Rhinolophus ferrumequinum: one gene and its partners. The protein of the gene in region 1 binds, or shares a complex with, the protein of each later gene. Links are inferred from orthologs where the notes say so. Each region holds a gene or a part of one and is shown on either strand. Other genes may lie near its edges. The genes, in order: CDK2AP2, MTA2 and MTA3.

Region 1 (3,510 bases):
GCTCTGCTTCACAGGTGCTGGGGGGGCAGGAAAGCCACGGTGTGCCCTCTCCTCTCTGCAGAGTCAGAGATGGTGTGTATTCAGAGACTCCAGGGCTGATTCACTTTAGGATGTGAGGGCATTAAGGCATGTGAGGGCGTGGCTTAAGTGAACTGGCATTTCCACCCTGCCAAGCATCACTGCTAATCCAGAGGTAGAGCCCTCTAGGCCCAGGATGGTGACATTGCCCTCCAGGGGTGGACGAGGCCAAGGCCTTGTGCTGCCCCCTGGTGGCACCATGTGAAGGAGGGCAGGGTTTCAGCTACAGGAGCTCAACTCTCCAATACTACTTACACCTGGGAAGGCTGATGGCCGACAGGGGCAGGGTCCCTCCCAAAGTAAACTGGACAAAGGGGTGGTGGGGTAGGGTGCAAGGCTGGGCTAGGCCCAGTCCGCCTCTCCCACCCTTCGAGTCTTCTCTTTCCCTCTTTCTTCCCAGACCACCCAGGCTTAGTAGAAGTACCAGACTCAGAAAGACTAAGCGCTGAGAGAACAACTCCAAATTATCTTTTATTTATACAAAAAGGGCATGTTTAGCAAAAGACACACTGAGAAAAGAGTGGCTATGGCCCAGGAGACAAGGCAGGGAGGTGACAGGCCTTCTGAGGCCCCACTGGGGGAGAAGGGGTCTGGGACAAAGTGGTGAGAAGTCCTGGGTAAGTGCTGAGGGCCACAGAAAGGAGAAAGTTCCAGTTGGATCAACACCATTGGCAGGTCATGGGTGGGACTCACAGTGACCTTGCTGCTGACTATGGCAGGGGTCCCAGTTAGTGCTGCCGACTGGAGTGAACCACCCCTGGTTTCTGGAGGGCACCCACCAAGGGACACAGGACAGGAAGCGCAACTCGGGATGAAGGCCAGGGAGAAGCAGGTGACCTGCAGTGGCCGGAAAAGGTCCAGACTTGGAGGCGGAGGCGCGTCCTGTTACGTGCGGGCGTTCCGCTCTGTCTCTGCCAGGCACTCTCTGACTAGGGCCCGGGCATGGATGATGCCTGGGGTGGGGGTGAGGGTGGGGATGGGGAAGTAACATACAGGGTCTCAGCGACCCTCCACAGTCCCACCCTCACCCTCCAGAGGAAGACCCCTCCCTCCCCACCCCCATTCCTTTCAGTAAGAGGGACTATAATCAAATGAAGGGCTGGATGAGATTAGAGGTTTAGCTAATCCTCAGATTTGCCCCGTTTAAATACAAATTCCCTGGTCCTTCCCTGGAAACTGACTCAGTTTCAATTCAATTCAGTACAACACCTCTGGATAGTGATCTTGGCCCTAGTCTAGGTTTGGCTCAGGTGGCCTCCAGATGTCCTTCCTTCCTGGGGGAGCAGGGTGGCATGAGGGGGTGGGCGAACCTGGTGTCACTCACCTCTCTTCAGGCGCTCCATGGCGCTCTTGCTGCCAGCATAGGTGGGCCGGATCTCTTTGCCCATCTCCTCGATGACAGACAGCAGATCCGTGTAGGTGCTCTGGGAACCCTGAGCGCCGGGGGGCTTCATTGCCTATGTCAAAAGAGAACAGGGAGGTGAGCTCAGGCCCCATGGGGCCTCCAGTCCCCGATCATAGGCAATTCCCTAGGTCCCACTCACCTGCACATAGCCCATGGAGGGCGGTCCAAAGTCGTTAAACAGTGGTCTGAAAGGGGCAGCGGCTCCCGGCACCGAGCCCGACGGCGATGGGACACTTCCGGCTGCAACATGCGCGAGTTAAGAGGTCAGCGCGGGACAGGGACGCCTCCTCCCAGCGCTCCAAGCCCCCGACCGGATTCACCCGATTCCTTCCAAAGAGATTCTTCATTCCAGGCTGCTCAACTTCAGAGACAAACCCCTCCCCCTGCACCCCATCAGGCCCTTACACGACCACGCCCACTTCACAGGCCAGCAAAGTGAGGCTCAGGGAGGATAGGCGGCAGGCCCAGTACTGCAGAACTCAGGCCATCTTCTCTTCGAGACCTCGAACGCCCGGGCACGCGAGCAGTGGTGGAACTGGATCCTCACCTGTAGGGACTGGGGTGCCAGGCCCAGGGGTGCTGGAGCCCGGGGTGCTGGTGGGGGCGGGGGCGATGGGTTTGTAGGACATCCCCAACTCCTGGGCGCGGGGGACACCGGCCGGCCGCTCCTCCGGGGTTGGCTGACTGGCCACTCAGCCGCGCTCTGATTGGCAGGCGGGATGCACGCCCCTGGTAAATAGAGCTAAGGCCGGAAGGGCGGGCGGGCACAAACGCTCCCTCACTCCCGATTGGTGAGCGAAGATGTCACTCGGGCCTCCTCAATGGTAGAGAACGACTCCAACAGGTCGCAACCGCTGCTGATTGGTCTCCGCCTTCCGGACCTCGCACCTGTCTGCTCCGGATTGGGCGGTGGCCGACGCCCTCCGCAATTGGCGAGTTCGCGGCCAGGGCCCGCGCGCTCTCTATCCGATTAGTCCCAAGGCCCGAGAGGCGGGGCCTCGGAATCCCGGACCTGGGTCTGGTACGCCGCGGTTTGTGCGGAGGAGGTCTTCACGGGCGCGGGCACCGCCCTCACGCCTCGCTCGCGCTGCTTCGCACGTCAGCTCCGTGTCGCTGGGTCTTGGTTCAGCTGGGGCTGCTGCCGCCGCTGCGCAGCGCGCCTTTCCTCTGCTCCGGATGTCGGAGGACGCCGGGCTTTGACGTTCGGAGCCCTGCGCCCCACCCCGTGCGCTTTTACGTCACCTTTCGCCGGTTCAACAACCTGTGCCCGATCTGCGCATGCGCCTTCCTAAAGCCTGCGTTTGTTCCCATGGCAACGGGTACCTCATCAACGCCACCGCCGCACGTCTTCCTCCAAGTTGTTTCGTTCTCCGGTCTACGCTGGCGTTAGGTCCAAGGGCGACTTCAGAGACTCCTCTCAACGTGCTCCGCCAAGGTCCCACGCCTATGCCTCATAATGACAGTAGCAGGAAGAACAAATCTTCATTAAATACTGCATGCCAGGCTCTGTAGCAAGTGGACCATGGACAAGAGTACCTACTGGAGTCAGACTGACGGTTTAAATCTCACACCATCCCCACTAGCGATCTTTCCTTGGGTAAGTTGCTCACCTCAATATGACTCAGTTTCTCCATCTGTAAAATGGGGACGGTAATAACTATCAGGGTTGTTGTGTGGATTAAATAAATATTCATAAAGTGCTTATTATTTCATTCTTTTCTGTCTCACTCCAGTGTCTCAAAATCTTTCCATTTCTCCACCCAGACCCCCCGTCAAATCTCATTCCTCACTACCCTAGAGTTTACACTCTCCTCCAAACACTAACCCTTTCTCCCAGGCTACTTCTCCCCAGACTTCTCTGGCCTTGTGTGCCCTTCATGCCCCGCCCCCCCCAAGTCTGTAGATTTTTCTCATCCCTAGGTCATTCATTCATTCAACAGACGTGTTCTGACTCCATCTTCTATCTCAGGCCTTATGCCAGACACTGATACTGATAATGGAAATGAATGGCCATGGCTTCTATCCGC
Region 2 (3,744 bases), about 3.4 Mb from region 1:
GAGGCCGGGCTGAGGCCAGCCACTGTGCTAGGCGTGTGGCCGGACGGCTCGGATGGCACCGACATCAACTCCCTGTGCCGCTCCCACAACGAGCGCGTGGTGGCTGTGGCTGACGACTTCTGCAAAGTGCACCTCTTCCAGTACCCGTGCGCTCGCGCCAAGGTGAGGCCTCCCGGGGCCTCTGGGGCTGGGCGGGCGAGCAGGGCCCGGGGCTGCGCAGCTCCCGCAACTCGACCTTTCCCCCAACCCAGGCGCCAAGCCTTGTGTACGGCGGCCACGGCAGCCACGTGACCAGCGTTCGATTCACTCACGACGACTCGCACCTCATCTCGCTGGGTGGCAAAGACGCCAGCATCTTTCAGTGGCGAGTGCTGGGCGCCGGGGGCGCGGGGCCGGCGCTTGTTACGCCCTCTCGAACCCCCTCCCTGTCCCCCGCCTCCTCTCTGGACGTCTGATCGCTGCCAGACCGGGCCCACCAGTCCCGCGGCGTGGCCCCGCCCCACGCGACACCCCTGGACCAGGAGCCGACCCTTTCTTCGACTTGGAGACATTCCCGATCGCGCATTTCCCTGGAGGGGGACAACGGCACCCCTGCACACACTGTATAGACCCGCTGGCTGAGCCGGGCTGCCCCAGCCTGGACCCTGATTCCCGCAGCCTGCTGAGGGGCAATAAACCAAAAAGCAAAGTCGCCTCCCAGTCCTTTTGTGGGGCGCGGCTGGGCGCCTCCGGGGCCCTGTGGGGGTGGGGATTAAGGAAAAGAGAAGCGCGGAAAGGGTGAGGGAGCGTAGACCATTCATGCAAATGACAGGCAAAGCCACTTGCAAATAAGCCCGCGAAGCGCAGGCATGCGAGTCTTTCGGGGCCGCAGGAGGAGCGGCATGGCTCCCGCGAGGAGAGAGTTAAGCCCAACTCTTCTCGGCGTCGGAGGAGGGGCGGAGCTGCAACGGAAATAACCGAGCGCGGGGCCCCGGTTGGCCGGAGGGAGCCGAACTGCTTCCGGAAGTGGCCGATCTGTGGGGTCTCGCTCTCCGACCTGAGTCGAGCGCCGGGCCTTGTTCTCCCGGTCGACCGAAGGTATTCCGGAAGGAGGCGAGCCCCGAGGCGGGCAGGGTCAGCCTTCCCCGCGGCCGGCAGGGCCCGAAGTCTGGTGGGGCTCTGCGAGGGCGGGAGACTCCGGAGCCTGGCTCTGGGCCGGCGGGAGCCGAGCTCGTTCCGGAAGAAGCCGAGCGGACCGGCGCCGGCCTCGGCGTCCCCGGTGTGAGGCAGTAGCAGCGGCGGCGACAGCGCTGACCGAGATGAACCGCGACGGCTGAGGCAGCGGAGGTGCCGGCTGCGCGGGCTTGACCGAGACTTCCGCGAAGCGCCAGCCCCGCGCTCCGGGCTTCGTCTCGAGCCGAGCCCTACCCCCCCGAGCCTCCCGGACCCCTTTGTGCGGCCAGAGGCGGCGGCGGGAACGGCCATGGCGGCCAACATGTACCGGGTGGGAGGTGAGTACTGGGCGCGGGGGCTGCGGGGCCCTGGGCGAGAGCGCCTCGGCCCCCGGCGGCGTGGTTCCGAGAGTGGACCGGAACCGGAACCGGGGGCACGGGGAGCGAGGGTGCTGGGACGGCGACGCGACCCGGCGCCGAGGCTCGCGGAGAGGCTGGGGGCAGCCCCGACGGCACTCTCAGGGTTGTGTCTGGGGTCCCCCGGGTCGGGAAGCGGGGCTTGGGAAAGTGGTTCCAAAGGAGCTGACAGGCAGGCAAGGGGCGCGACGGGCCCGGGCGACCGCTTTGCCTCTTGCGGGGGAGCCACCGGGAGGTTTCTTCTCCCCAGGCGTTATGTGCGCCTCGGTTCACAAAGGAGGGGGGGCCTTGCGCTAGAGTGAACAATAATTGCTCCCTTCCCTGAGCCTAGAGTGCAACCCCATCGCTGAGGTGGTACTGCAGGGGAGCCCCCTGCTTCTTGGTTCTTTCTGAAGGCTCGCTTTTGAACGAAGGGTCTGACTTTAGAACTAGGTGGCCAGGGGTAGGGGCATCCCTTGTTTTCTCTTAGTCTCTCCACTTACACATTTCAGCGTCCTCTCTACCTGGACCCTTACCTACTTTTGGTCCTCCCAGGCCTGCTTTGGTCTCCTCCTACCCTAGTACTTTGGCTCTCCCGTCTTCTCCTGATTTTTTCGGTTATTCCTCACCGCCTCCTACAGATTACGTCTATTTTGAGAACTCCTCCAGCAATCCTTACCTGGTTAGACGGATTGAGGAGCTCAACAAGGTGAGTGGAACAGAATCCATCCGCCAACCCCGCTTCCCCAAAGTGATCTCTTTTTTCTTAGGTCTCTAACTTCAGGTGGAGGGGGAGGGTGGGGAGAGAAACCTATCCTAAGTACCTATTCATATTCATTCATTCATTCATTCATTCATTCATTCATTCAATGTATTCAGGAAAGGCTGGCTATTAGAGCTTAGTGGGAACTTTAGTGTTCTATCTCTTGTGGGCTAAAGAAAGAGATTTGGAAGTCTGTGCTTAAATGTAAGTCTCATTCCTAATTTCTGGGTGTTTTCTACATCCCTTAGAAACTTATTGTTGTTAGTCTCTTCTTTGTGCATTTTTATTTTCAAATGACCAGTTTTCACTGCCATTTTCCCCCCTCCCCCTAGACTGCAAATGGAAATGTGGAGGCAAAGGTTGTGTGCCTTTTCCGGCGAAGGGATATTTCTGGTAGCCTCAACAGCCTGGCCGATAGTAATGCCAGTGAGTGTCTTTGTACCCCCACCCTACCCTCGGCTCCCCTTCCGCCCCTTCCCGGTGAGCTGAGGCCTGGGCATGTCCCTGCAGGTGTTTCTCCTGGTTGCATGCCCTAGGTAGGGGTGTGAGCTTGGGGGTGGGAAATGCCTGTTCTGTGGAGGGAGGCCTGTTTTTAACCGTTGGATGGAAGCAGCGCGAAGAGACCATGATAAGGAGAGCCAGAATGTGTCTTGTGTGTAAGTGTGTCTAGGTGAATGGTGTGGGTAAAGAGATGATAGTATTTAAATAGGGCATGAGGAGGAGCTTTAGAGACGCAGGACCCTTGGGGGACAGTTTGGGTATGTTGGGACAATGGGTCATGGCCGAAGGTCAAGGTGAAGAGGATGAGATTGTACTTAGAAGCCTGCACAACAGGGAAGCAGGCTTATATTGTGATCACCAGGTGGTGAGACTACATTGACGGGACAGAATAGGAAGTGAGGAAAGTTTTCTTGCACTTCTTCCTCTTTCTCACCTCTCCTGTTTTCCCCTCTACTCCATTTTATATCTTTCTCTTTTCCTGTAGTCGTCTTCCTTCTCTTTATGCTTTCACGTTCTTTCAAAAAATATATCTCCTTCACTTTTCTTTAGTGTCCTGTTCCTTTCCTGCTTTGACTTTCCCCTTCTTCTTCCTCCTTCCTAAATTATTTTCCTTCTTCCTGGCTGTTGTGGGCATGAAGGGGTTAAGGAGGAGCCGGGCCTACCAAGTTCTCTGGCCCTTTGGGGTTTCCAGGCCCATCTGGCAGGGGCTGACCTTGGCCTTGTCCAATCAGAAGGGGTGTGGGGGGGTGTGGGAGGTGTGGTCCCCTCCTCTTAGCACAGGGTTTCCGGAGCACACAGGCGAGGGGTGGAGCCTGCTGGCCTCCCCCCCCCACCCCGCCCCCCCTGAGGTTGGGAACAATGCACCAATGAGCCTGGGCCTGTGGCTCTTTTGCCCCTTCCCACTTTGGTTGGTGCCCAGCCAGGTTAACCCTT
Region 3 (3,744 bases), on another chromosome or scaffold:
TCATCTGAAATCTATGGTTTGTGTAGTTTGATTGTTTTCGTGTGCCTCTGTTGTGAAAGCTCATCTACTGCAAACAGTCATAATGCTTCTGATGTCCTAGACACCTGTGATCAGGGACAAACCTTCACGTAAAAGTTTTATTTGGCCTAAGGTACAAAGCTACTTGGGCCTAAAGTACAAAACCGGATTCTTATTAGTTAGCCTAGCCCAGAATTTTACAAATTCCCTTCAACATTCTATTTCCTAGTGTCCTTCTTCCAAAGCTAGAGGAGGAAAAAATTAATTCACTAAAAAGGTAGAAATACGAATTATGACTCTATATATAAAAAGGGACTGAGTTAGAGGAGTGACTTACTCTTGAGAGGTTCTAAGCAATTTGAAGAAATCTGCAGATATTAAATGTTCAATAACATTTAATATCAGAGGTAATTAGAAAAAGCAAAAGAATATTCAGAATCCCTAATAGCTCTCTAATGTGAAATCTCTACTTTCAAAGAGTCTGGGACTGAAAGTAAAATCACCTCTTATGCCCTTTACCCAATTACCTTCAATAGAAAACAATTATTTTTTAATATTAGAATCAAGAACACCAAGTGTATACCTTGTTGAGTTCTTCTATCCTCCTGATTAGGTACGGGTTGCTGGAGGAATTCTCAAAGTACACGTAATCTGTAATTAAAGAAAGAGCTTAATCTTTTCAACAGAAAGTTCACATTTGTCAATCTATGACTTTCTATGTTAGGCAATTCACACTCAAAATGAAGCATGTAATTCATTCCCTGGTAAAAGCAAACTTAGTAATGCAACCTCAATGTATTCTCATGTGCCTACAAATTCACAGACCCTTATATTCCTGCATTTTCATTTCAATTAATGTTTTATCAAGTTCTCCTACACTCTTGTCCCACACATGTCATTTCTTTTGTAACAAAACAAAACAACACCTCTTGTCATCATTGAATAGTCAGGGATGACTAAACCATGTGTCTTTCATACTATAACTGCTTCAACATCTTTTCCCTCTAATCCAATTTGCCCTGGAATATGCTTCTCACATAAAACTATCGATCTAAGACAAATTCCAAGCATCCTGAAAGGCCCAGCAGCCCAAAGTACATTTCAATCAACTTAAACAAAAAATAAACAAACAATCAGGTGAGCAGAGCAGGTAAGAGGAAGCACACTGACAAAACTTTTCCATAGCTCTAGCTAGGACGATAAGGGGGAAAAACGGAGAAGAGTGGATGTCACTTTCTGAGAGACAGAGCTCTCCGAGGTAGGATCAGTCTTTTTTATCACCTTTTACTATAAGTAATCCAGATCCACTTAGGGTCTTGTTATAAAAAATTGCTGAAGCCTTTCAACAAAAAAAGAATAAAAATTTTCAAGTGTGGCTTTTCCTCTCATTTAATAGGCTCACTGGAAATTTCCCACTGTGTGTTTATTTGAGAGGCTGGACTGCATTGTTATTGTCTATCTTAGTGGCTCTTTCCTGTCTCTTTTCTGCAAAGTGGCCTCATTTAGCCAGGCCATTCCCAACACCATCCATCAGGAGTTCAGCTAATGAGCACAGAAGCACAAGCAAGTCTCACACACAAACACACCACTTATCTGAATTATTATTTTACCAGGAAAGAGGGAGGAGGGCGTCGTGAGTAGGGAGAAAGTTTGTTTGACCTTATTTCTCTCTTCTGCAGAAGGCTGGGAAGGAGGCAGACAGGACAGCAAACGTCCAGGCAGAGCTCACCTCCCCACCTCTGGCTGCGGTGCCCTGGCCCCACTAAGCTCCATTCTTGGGGAGCAGGACAAGAAACGGAGGGTGTGAGGAAGGAGAGGTGCAGGGCCCTGTCCCTGCTAACAGGCCTGTCCAGCTGTGACCCCGGCTGGGCCCCCATCGCCCCCACCCCCACCCCACTGAAGAGAAGTAGAAGATGGGGGGATGTCCCCACCCCTCCAACCCCTACAGCCTAGAAGGCACGCGAGGAGAGACCACCCTATTAGGGGGCTCGACGGCCCATACCCCCATGGGAGTTCTTGGAGGGGGCGTCTGATAATTCACACCCCCAAGTACAGGCCCGGCCCTGAAACACTGGGCGGGTGGGGGAGGTGGGCCTAGGCCCCTCGCGAGCCACGGTGGGGGGAGGGGGTAGAGGAAGGGGAGGGGGTAGGGTGGGGAGCCCCGGCCCCCTCTGCGGGCCCCGGCGCCCCCTAACCCCCTGCGCCCTCAGTCCGGGCGCCCGTGGCTCCCAGCGGTTAGGGTGAACTCGCCCCGACCCCCCATTCCCGGAACCCGCTCCCAGACGGGCCGGGTCGGGCCGAGCCTTCCTACCTCCGACCCGGTACATGTTGGCCGCCATGTCCGCCCGCCCGCCCGCGGAGCCCGAGCCGAGCCCCGCCCGCCGCCGCTGCTGCCGCCGCCGCCTCAGCCTAGTCCGCCGCCGCCTCCGCCGCCGCCGCCGCCTCGCCACGGGGGGGAGGGGAAGGAGGGAACGAGGGGAGGGGGAAGTGAAGGGGAGGGGACGCCGACGGGTGGGGGCAGGTGCCCGCCCCCAGCCTCGGGCAAGCGAGGCCAAGTGGGCCGGGCCAGGGGAGGTCGGAGCGCAGCCGGGCCAGCAGGGAATTGGGGAGGGGTCCGGTTTGGGGGGTCTTGATGAAAGTAGAGGATCCTAGGGCAAGAGTCCTGACTTAGGAGGAGGCTTGCACTCGCAAATGCAGACGAGGGGCCATTGGAGAATTGGGCTGGGGGCAAGGGCTCAGCCTCCCCAGAGCCCCTATCGCCCCACCCAGTGTACCCTGTCACCTGCCCACCCTTAGACAGTCTTCCCCTCTGCTTCCGTCCTTGGGAGCCCCAGTAAATGTGACCTCGAGCACGTGAGTTCCTGTCTCGAAGCAAACACTTGGATGCAAATAAGTGCACGCGGCAGGGCGCCTTCCTTGTGCGGATGTTAATGCGGCGGGCCTGGAGCTTGTAGGCCCTAGGGCCAGAAGGACACCAGGTGCTGCCAGCTTCCCCAGGCAGAGACCCAGCTGTGGACAAGGCTAGAAAAGCTGGCTCCCTCCCAAGTCCACCCTAACTGCAGTGGCAGGTCTATCAACGTTCACCCCAAAACTGGGCTGAACAGAACCCACATCGGGAAGACTTGCCTCTAGACAGCCCCTGTATACAGAGCTGCCCTGCTGGGAGAAGAGGATGGGGGGGAGGGCGTTCCTTTGTTCACAGGGGAGCAGAGCTCTACAGTTCTTCACCAGCACCCTCAAAGGAGGGGACAGTGTCAATCAGCTTGCCGTTGATTGTTGGAGTTAACTTAGTTGTGTGCCTAAAGCTTTTACATAGTTATTATTTTCCCATGCTAATTCTCTAGACAATCCCTGTTTTCTCATCCTTCATATCCTCACAGAAATCAAAAACCAAATAAGAGTTGAATCGTAGCTGGCTATCCCCCACATGAGCACAAACAGCTTTCTTTAGAGAAGCCAATCCATTCCAAACTACTCCCAGGCATTGCTGTATAATAAACATGAAGATGATCCCTTACTGTGGTGGATTGTGTGAAGTTTCTGGTGATTTACAGCTATGCGTTGTTGACTCTGAGTTTGGGGTCTGCGCAGGGATGGGAGATGTCCCCAGAAAAGAAGACTGTGTTTTGTTTGTCTGGTGATGGCATTTGTGACGGTCCATTATTGCAAATTATTGAGATGAAAAAAATAATTTTCTAGCTAGCTGAGGCAAAGTAAAAAAATAAA

Evidence for each region.
Region 2: CDK2AP2 (region 1) and MTA2 share a complex: the UniProt entries of both Homo sapiens proteins name them as parts of the nucleosome remodeling and deacetylase (NuRD) repressor complex. The link is inferred for Rhinolophus ferrumequinum from reciprocal best matches to the Homo sapiens genes CDK2AP2 and MTA2.
Region 3: CDK2AP2 (region 1) and MTA3 share a complex: the UniProt entries of both Homo sapiens proteins name them as parts of the nucleosome remodeling and deacetylase (NuRD) repressor complex. The link is inferred for Rhinolophus ferrumequinum from reciprocal best matches to the Homo sapiens genes CDK2AP2 and MTA3.

The regions. Positions count from the first base shown.
Region 1 is NC_046294.1:4,748,008-4,751,517, reverse strand, and holds CDK2AP2 (cyclin-dependent kinase 2-associated protein 2), read right to left. Parts: upstream 2,686-3,510; 5' UTR 2,113-2,685; coding exon 2,031-2,112; exon of another isoform or gene 1,889-2,030; intron 1,724-1,888; coding exon 1,623-1,723; intron 1,536-1,622; coding exon 1,403-1,535; intron 1,032-1,402; coding exon of another isoform or gene 964-1,031; exon of another isoform or gene 916-963; coding exon 755-915; 3' UTR 525-754; downstream 1-524. UniProt on the Homo sapiens protein: Acts as a component of the histone deacetylase NuRD complex which participates in the remodeling of chromatin.
Region 2 is NC_046294.1:8,178,138-8,181,881, forward strand, and holds the start of MTA2 (metastasis-associated protein MTA2), read left to right. Parts: upstream 1-835; 5' UTR 836-1,462; coding exon 1,463-1,490; intron 1,491-2,188; coding exon 2,189-2,256; intron 2,257-2,642; coding exon 2,643-2,736; intron 2,737-3,744. Other genes in the region: EML3 (echinoderm microtubule-associated protein-like 3), read left to right, coding at 32-162, 252-455. UniProt on the Homo sapiens protein: May function as a transcriptional coregulator. Acts as a component of the histone deacetylase NuRD complex which participates in the remodeling of chromatin.
Region 3 is NC_046296.1:42,203,687-42,207,430, forward strand, and holds the start of MTA3 (metastasis-associated protein MTA3), read right to left. Parts: upstream 2,431-3,744; 5' UTR 2,358-2,430; coding exon 2,330-2,357; intron 670-2,329; coding exon 602-669; intron 1-601. UniProt on the Homo sapiens protein: Acts as a component of the histone deacetylase NuRD complex which participates in the remodeling of chromatin.